2 linked regions of the Ovis aries genome follow. The protein of the gene in region 1 interacts with the protein of each later gene in a pairwise test. Links are inferred from orthologs where the notes say so. Each region holds a gene or a part of one and is shown on either strand. Other genes may lie near its edges. The genes, in order: OPRM1 and GJA4.

Evidence for each region.
Region 2: the proteins of OPRM1 (region 1) and GJA4 interact in binary tests that used the Homo sapiens proteins (3 or more experiments, as listed by UniProt). The link is inferred for Ovis aries from reciprocal best matches to the Homo sapiens genes OPRM1 and GJA4.

Annotation. Positions count from the first base shown.
Region 1 is NC_056061.1:78,544,200-78,548,688, forward strand, and holds the start of OPRM1 (mu-type opioid receptor), read left to right. Parts: upstream 1-1,415; 5' UTR 1,416-1,588; coding exon 1,589-1,881; intron 1,882-4,489. UniProt on the Homo sapiens protein: Receptor for endogenous opioids such as beta-endorphin and endomorphin. Receptor for natural and synthetic opioids including morphine, heroin, DAMGO, fentanyl, etorphine, buprenorphin and methadone.
Region 2 is NC_056054.1:9,838,209-9,842,563, forward strand, and holds GJA4 (gap junction alpha-4 protein), read left to right. Parts: upstream 1-1,502; 5' UTR 1,503-1,862; intron 1,863-2,649; 5' UTR 2,650-2,666; coding exon 2,667-3,668; 3' UTR 3,669-4,177; downstream 4,178-4,355. UniProt on the Homo sapiens protein: One gap junction consists of a cluster of closely packed pairs of transmembrane channels, the connexons, through which materials of low MW diffuse from one cell to a neighboring cell.

The sequences.
Region 1 (4,489 bases):
TTCAGCTGAATATGGGTGAATTAATACATTAGTTCATAGGAGAATAGGTGGTGAAGCATTTTTATTATTCTGTAGGAGATCTTTATAACATGTTATTGCTGAAATTTTATCCTTCAACATAAAAAAAGATAAAAATACTGAACATTGGCAAAATTATCTATGATTAGTGGAGTTTACCAGTATTATGTTTTCCAGACAAGTGATAAAAATAATATTGGAATTAAATCTTCTTTCCAAGCTCTCTACCTCACCTTGATCCCTGTTCACCAAGGATATAGCTTTCTACAAACAACTGGGGATCTTTAATGATAGTGTTAGTAGTTAAAAGATACATATGCAGACAAATATACCCATAAATAGAAATGAGAATTACTTCAGAATTTGTGTTAACATTACCAAAAAACAAAGACAAACAAAGCAAAATTTATTAATAAAGTAGAAGCATTTGTGGATTTAAAAGTGAATTATCAAATTTTAAAGCATAACAATAATCCTTAACCTTGTATGAGCCATTCCAGTTCCAGATGTCTATGTAGTTTTTCCTGGAATGTCTACACTAGAATACACTGAAATAATGTAAACACTTGGTTTTCACAGTCTTCTACTGAGAAGCATATGTAGGAAGGCTGGAGATAAAACCAATAATTAATAACTCCAAACCTATGAGATTTATATATGGAATGTCACCCTTGTCTTTCTTTGGCTTTTCAGGATGCCACAACTCCCTGTGCCTCTTTGTCAGCAAGCTAGAAATTAGATGCAAATAAAACTTCTGCTCCAGGAGAAAAAAGGGAATATGAAGTAAAGGGAATAGATATCCTCTCTCAAAGTTTGTTTTTCATCTCTTTTCAGAAAAGGAATCACTCTTGTCTCAGGCAGGGTTGAAGGGTTGGAAATTCTCCATTAGTAAAGAGACACATGGTGACTTTTTCTACAGACAGAAAAAGTCTGAGGCAAGGAGGGCTACAGAAGAGGATTCTGTGTACCCTGCACCAAATCATTGCTTAGGCAGCAGAGACAGAAGAGCTCTGGGGTCTGGGATGTCAGGATGGCGTCAGACCAGTGTCTTTTCTGTCATGGTACACTGAGAAAACGGTGCTGGAAAATGTGAGGTCAGCCCCCTTCCTTAATGCTTTGCATCCGCCAAAAACTCTCCGTTTGTCTCACTCTCAACCCCTTCCCTCCAACCCCCTTTCTGGTTCTGCCTGTCCTTAGAGGTGTTTGCACAGAGGAGTGCTGAGTGGGGAAACAGAGTCGTTGGATCGCTTTGCGCAAAATCCCCTTCTCTCTCCTCCCTCGGCTCCAGCCTCCGGATCCCGCACAGCTCTCCCCTCCTTCCCCACCGGCGGTGTGGGGCTGGAGCCCTGTCTGTGTACTTCTAAGGTGGGAGGGGGCTACAAGCAGAGAATAATGTCAGATGCTTAGCTCTCTCCTGCCTGACGCTCCTCTCTGGCTCCGCCGGGGTTGGTCGCTGTAAGAAATAACAGGAGCTGTGGCAGCGGCGAGACGAAGCGGCTCACGCGTGGAACCCGAAAAGTCAGGGTGCTCGCGGTTACTCCCAACGTGGTCCCAGCCGGCGGTCAGCACCATGGACAGCGGCGCCGTCCCCACGAACGCCAGCAACTGCACTGACCCCTTCACACACCCTTCAAGTTGCTCCCCAGCACCTAGTCCCAGCTCCTGGGTCAACTTCTCCCACTTAGAAGGCAACCTGTCCGACCCATGCGGTCCGAACCGCACCGAGCTGGGCGGGAGCGACAGCCTGTGCCCTTCGGCCGGCAGCCCTTCCATGATCACGGCCATCATCATCATGGCCCTCTACTCCATCGTGTGCGTGGTGGGGCTCTTCGGAAACTTCCTGGTCATGTATGTGATTGTCAGGTAAGGAAGGCCACAGGGCTCCGGATTTCGGTGGCTAATAGAGGCATAAAGGGTGTTGGGGGTGGGGGGAGGATGAGAAAAAAGGAGGTAAAACAAGGGAGAATGTAGAGGTGAAATTAGACAGAGTGGTTGCAGCTTGAGTACAAAAACTTACTTTTCTATTCTTCCTTCCGTTAATAAAGACAGAATCCAAAATTTCAGAAACAGAGAAGTTGCTTTAGTAAAAGCTATAAAGCTCTGGTAAAAAAAAAAAAAAAAAAAAAAGCCTCTATCTTACAGCTTGTTTATACTGAGCCAGAAGGGCTCTGGGCTCTTAACCACAGTGTCCCATAGCCCCTTCCAAAGGAGCTGTGGAAACAATAATTTGTGGAAAATAGAAGATAAATTCTAGTTATTTTATCCTTAATTGGAGGCAGAAGGGGCAGATTTCCTTCTCTATTCTTTTCAGAGATGAACCTTGGCAACTTTCCTGCTCCTGCTGATTCCAGTGTATTTGCTGCACCATTGCTGTGCCCTGCTCTTCCTCACTCCTAGAGGAAGTTTTTCTGGTGTCTTGCCACAGTAAATGGTGCTGTTTGTGTTGCCGAGACCAGTTTGCAGTTGGCAGCTACAGATCTGCTAGGGGAGTCAAACTGAATCAGGAATAGGTCAGGTGGTTCGGAACTGCAGCACTGTTTTTCAGTGCCCCCAAAAGTTGAAACAAGTCAGAAGTGACCAAAAACAACATAATTCTGGATGATAAACTATTGCATAGGAAGTTGTAATGGTTGCTCTAGAGAAATTAAAAAGTGTCTTCATCCAGTGAAATTATTTCAGAAGAGTTTGTGGCCCAGTTTCTATTTGTCCAGATGTTCCAGGTTTATTTGGCAGAAAATATACAAGTTCAATATTAGCTGAGATTGATGTAGATTGTGTTGGTGTTGATGTGCCTATTCAAATCCTACATGTTAATATGGAATACTATGTTTTAACTTTTGAGAAGTATATGATTATTTTAACACTTTAACACGGCTCTTGATTTAGGGTTTTCTTCCTACTATGGCACTTCCATGTTTAGCTGCAATATTGGCTTCATCTATTCAGCAAGTATTGTAGGTTTCACTGGAGCTCTTAAATCATCTAACAGTCGTTTTCTCCGTTATGCTTTCTTTATTGAGGTGGTGCAAGTTGTTTGTAATCGATTTTTTCTGCTTTTTATGTCTGATTTCTTTAATTAATGATTGTTAAAGAGTAAAACTAATTTTCTTGATCTTTTGATGAAGAATCATATAAGCAGTTTCTCTGAGTAAAGAGCACCATCTATTGCAAAGAAAGCTAACAACAGAAGGAAAAATGCAGGAAGAGAATCAATGGGAAAATTTATTTTTAAAACATTTACTTTATGTAATTCAATACAAAGCTTCCTCTCAAATCTGAAAACTGTCTTAGTTTGCATTTATGATAATAAAAATAATAACTAAATCCCTGCCCATGAAGGGAAAATTTATTCTTTCTCCTAAGAAAATTCATGGACTCGTAAGCTTATAGGGCCAGAAGGAAACCTAGAGGTTTTCTAGGCTAGGTGAGTAAAATGTGGCACAGAAAATATAAATTATTTCTCCAAGGACAGATAAGTTCATTAGTTCAATACCATGGAATTGCTCTTAGCCAATGTATTTTCTGTTTTAGAGTGGCTCATGATTTGAGTTAATTCAACTACAACATTGACAGAGTAGTTTAGATAATAACTTGGAAATAATAAATTAATCCAAATTTACTTCTGTAATCCTGGAGAATGAAGGACGAAAAGAAATTATAAAACCATCTTGAAATTCTGTCATCTAAAACATAATCATTTATGCTTTTATTGTTTCTCTTGGTATTTTCCTTCCTAATTTTTCTCCTCTCTGGTTTATGCTTTTCTATAAAGCAGAGAGCCAATAGAGCAACAACTGGCTGTGGAATAAACAGATTGGTTTTATTCTTGTGCTAAAGATATTACTAGTTGGGTGATTTTGTTTTAAAGGTATTACCTCTGAACTTTTGATGACTTGGAAAAGGATGGTGACCTTGTCTCTTACTGAGAACATGATATTATGCTTTATTTTTCTGTGCTTAAAGTTCCAACCAGAATACAGTACTGTTTGAAAAGGCACCTCAAACACCCACCTGTGCAAGTCAGGTGTTTAATTCCAAGGTCAGATAATCTTCTGGGAATATGACTGTGAAACAGAAAAATAGTTCAGTGACCAATGAAGCCTCTGGGGAGTGAAGGAACTATATCTATTTAGCTGAGAATATTTAACTAGACTATCTCCACGCTATGGTTATTTCACTACAAAGTGATCATTTCACAGACATTATTGCCTCTGTTAAAAAGATGGATATAATGCTGTATCTATTCAAGTACTGAGATAAAATGCTTACTTCCTGCTATTATTCAAAATTCAACAAATACTTTTGAATTATTAAGTAGTTAGGGTTTTCTAACCAGATCAACATAACATTTATTAGAATGTCTTAACACATTGACTAAAACATGAGGCGCCAATGACAATGGCAGGAAAATAACAACAAAGATACTATGGATGCCTTGATTAGTCATTTTCTATCCTGTGTCTGCACTTTA
Region 2 (4,355 bases), on another chromosome or scaffold:
ATATCTAAGTATGGGGAAGCCACAGCTTAAGCAAGAGTTAATCCGAATTTTATGCTAACTAAAACATCCTGTTTGTGGCCCTGTCAAACATACGTTGTACATGTGCTTTAATTATGAAAGAAAAGGGTGCATTGACCAGAAGTAAAGAATGTTCATGTTAAAAATAAAGGTTACATCATGCCTGCCTTTCTGGAACACCAATGCTGCTACTCCTTCGATGATAAGATTTTCTTCCCAGGTGCCAAGGCCGTACTGACTCTGTGTACTGCTGATCTGTGATTTCGTGGGTTTTGGTTTTGTTTTTTCGCAACTTTGAAGTATCCCTGACTTGTTTGACATTCTTTGTTCCAACAAGATATAAACTGTGCTGAAAAATCGTGCTTCTCCCGAGCAGTTGCACCGAGTTATCAGAGGCTGTCTCCTGGGCAAGAATAGTCAGTGTGGCTCAAATAAAACTCTTTTCTATTCCTATTATAGACTCCTGATTATTCCCATCCCCCTGGCTAATGCTGTCTCCTCCAGGAAACATTCCTAACTGAGCCCCCCCGAGTCAGGGGAACTTCGCATCTTTACTCTTCCCCAAAGGCCGATGGGCACAGTTCCTGCCTGTCTCCTCTAGCCAGTGAGAGTCACAGGCCAGGGACCACATCTGGCTGGTTTATGCTCAACTCCCCAGCTCCACAGACAACGCCTGCAGCCCATGGATGTTCACAGAGAGGATAATGCCTGAATGAACAACAGGCGGGCCCTGCCCACCTCTTCACTTCTTTTGGATGCCTCCCCCCACCCCACGTTTAGAGCCATGAGGATGAGATCCAAGCTAAAGGTCAGGAGAGTCCCCTCCCCCCAACCCCCCAACCCTCGTCCTGTCTCTAGTGGACCATGGCATTGCTTGCCCTCTGATGGTGCAGCCTTCCCAAGAATGGGGATGTTTAAGATCTCAGCAAGAACAGGGGCTGACTAGAGACCCCCAGCTTCACCACAGACACTAGAGAAGGCAGATTATAACCCTCTCTCTCCCATGCCCTAAGGAGGCTTCATTATCAAGTCCTGGTATGGCTCTGGGCACACAGTGGCCACCCCACAGGGGTGTTCTGCCTTCTCAACAAGAGCGAGAGGCCCCCACGGTCAAGGAGCTGCCCTTCCCAGGAGGCCCCATACCCTCACCCCCACCTGCCCATCTCTCAGAGCCTCCCAGGACAGCTGCCTGAGGTCAGAAAGTTCTGGCTGTAATCCTTTCGCATGCAGCCACCCTGGAAAACATCATCCCTCCGGAGACCTCTCTGTTGCACAGCCAAAGAAGCAGTCTCTCCCCCCACGCTCCTCGCCCCCGACTCCCATTGGCACCTCCCGGGCCCTTTTCTTGAGAGTGGCTTCAGGGAGCCCGCGCCTCCCGTCCCGCCCCCAACCTCCCGCTCGGAACAGCGCCCGCCGCCCGCCCGCCGCTTCCTGCCCCCACCCCGCCCCGCGCGCTATTTAAGGCGCCCCCGCCGCCCGGCGCCGTCCAGCAGGGCTCCCGCGGGCGCCGCTCCGGCCGACTTGCGTCCCCTCCGCCACCTGGGCCGCCCGCAGGCCGGCGGTGAGTTGGGCTGGGGGGCGCGCTGGGGCGCCACCTGCCAGCGGACCAGCGGGCAAGGGACAGGGGGCCACCTGCCAGGGGCGGAGGGCTGCTGCGGGGGGCACCCACCGCGGGCCTGGCTCACCCAGCCTACCTGGGCTGGCCTCAGAGGCTAAGCCGGGTTCCTGCCGTCTCTCGGTGGGCCCTCATAACCCTCGGAAGTAGGAATGTTAACATTTTCCAGGAGAGGAGACTGAGGTACTAAGGGGCCGTCACTTCTCCGAGGCCTCCGTTAGCAGGAGAGGTAGGATTTGAACCCAGGTCTGGCTCCAGAGCCCGGCTGTAAACCGCTTTGCTCCCACAAAGAAGCACCTCCCCATCCCCTTTCCCCCTCCTTCCTCCCCCCACCGGACTCTCCCCCTGAAGTTCTGGGAACTCTGTGGCCTGTGCCTCCACCCTGCTATGACAGTTCCTTTCAAGAGCCTAGAATCCGGCAGCAACAGCTTTGGCAGGGGGAGGGAGTGGAGAAAGGGGACCCGAGATCAAGAGTGGGTACTTAAGCGGCAGGTGGCCGCTATTGCTGACAGGTGGAGCTAATGCAGGATGCTGCCTTGAGTGTCTAGCATGCCTTCACCAGGAACTCAGAGGTTAGAGCAAGGCCAGATGGGCGAGAGCTGCTGGGGAGGGAGAGGGGACCTGAGGCTTTGGGCCCCCTGGGAAGCTGGAGTTACCACCACCACCTCCCCCTCACTGTCTGGGGACAGCCTGTCCTGGGCCGAAGGGAGGAGGGGCATGGCGCAGCTGTGTGACCTTGGATGGGTTCCTCAAATTCTCTGTTCCCTTAGGCTCAGGAGGCTCACCTGGATCCAGAGCTCCTTCGGCTGGGTCAGGAGGGACCCAGGTGGGACTAGGCAAGGCTCCTAGCTGTACCCTTGCCAGAGCTTAGCAGCCATCAGCCAAAGGCCTGCTTTTAGTCCTGCTGGGTGTGAGCCCCCAGGCCAGTCCCTTCCCCTCCGGGAGCTCAGTTTCCCGCAGACCTGTTGCTAGGACAGCTGAGAAGGACACTGACCGTGTCTTATGCCTCCCTGCAGACGGAGGCCCGGGAGCCATGGGCGACTGGGGCTTCCTTGAGAAGCTGCTAGACCAGGTCCAGGAGCACTCGACCGTGGTGGGCAAGATCTGGCTGACGGTCCTTTTCATCTTCCGCATTCTCATCCTGGGCCTGGCCGGCGAGTCGGTGTGGGGCGACGAGCAGTCGGATTTCGAGTGTAACACGGCCCAGCCAGGCTGCACCAATGTCTGCTACGACCAGGCCTTCCCCATCTCCCACATCCGCTACTGGGTGCTGCAGTTCCTCTTCGTCAGCACGCCCACCCTGGTCTACCTGGGCCATGTCATCTACCTGTCTCGGCGCGAGGAGCGCCTTCGGCAGAAGGAGGGGGAGCTCCGGGCGCTGCCAGCCAAGGACCCACGCGTGGAGCGGGCGCTGGCAGCCATAGAGCGCCAGATGGCCAAGATCTCGGTGGCGGAAGACGGTCACCTGCGGATCCGTGGGGCGCTGATGGGCACCTATGTGGCCAGCGTGCTCTGCAAGAGCGTGCTGGAGGCGGGCTTCCTGTATGGCCAGTGGCGTCTCTATGGCTGGACCATGGAGCCTGTGTTTGTGTGCCAGCGCTCACCCTGCCCCTACCTCGTGGACTGCTTCGTCTCTCGCCCCACGGAGAAGACTATCTTCATCATCTTCATGCTGGTGGTCGGACTCATCTCCCTGGTGCTCAACCTGCTGGAGCTGGCGTACCTGCTGTGCCGCTGCCTCAGCCGGGGGGTGAGGGCCCGGCAGCGCCAGGATGCGCCTCCAGCCCCGGGCACCTCCTCGGAGCCTTACGCCGACCAGGTCTTCTTCTACCTCCCCATGGGCGAGGGGCCCTCATCCCCGCCATGCCCCACCTACAACGGGCTGTCGTCCAGTGAGCAGAACTGGGCCAACCTGACTACAGAGGAGAGGCTGGCTTCTTCCAGAGCCCCCCTCTTCCTGGACCCACCCCCCCAGACTGGCCAGAAATCCCCCAGTCGCCCCAGTAGCTCTGCTTCCAAGAAACAGTATGTGTAAGGGCCTGAGGCTTCCATCACCCCGCAGCGGGGCCTGGGAAGTCTTGCTGCCTTTAATGCAAGGTTCCACGGAGATGGCTGGGGGAAACAGGTGCTGGCTGGCCAGACAGCCTCCTTGCATGTTGTTCTTGACACCTGCATCCTTCCTAATGACCAGAGGGCACCACACTTTCCCCTCCAGAACGTGGCTTTGTCCCAAGCATGGACAGAGCCAGCGTGGGGTGCTCTTAGCCAAGGGTGTTTGAGCCCTTTGGTCTTTTTCACCTGGTTCAGAGGGATTCGGAGACAACTTACCCCACCCCCACCCCCGCGGCAGATTCACCTCCACCCAGGCTGTCTGCACACCCTGTCCTCTCAGGAAAGGCTGGTGGAGGCTGCTGGGTCAGCCTTGATCACACACACAGAGCCTGTGCTGGATCTGGCCCTGTCAAGGGGAGTGGGGTCTTATTCTCATCACTCCTTCCTACTTCCACTGTTTATCCTTCTAAAATAAACAGGACTTGATCACAAGTGAGGTGTGTGTTGATACTGTCATGATGTACCTTTGCATGGGGGGTTGGAGGACAGTTGCTTTGCCCACGGTTCCTTGCCTCTGCAATCCCAACACCAGCCAGCGCCTTAAACCCTCAAACTCCTACGTATCACCTCTCAGCAGCTCTGAGTCCTGAACACTGCCTTCTGAAATTAT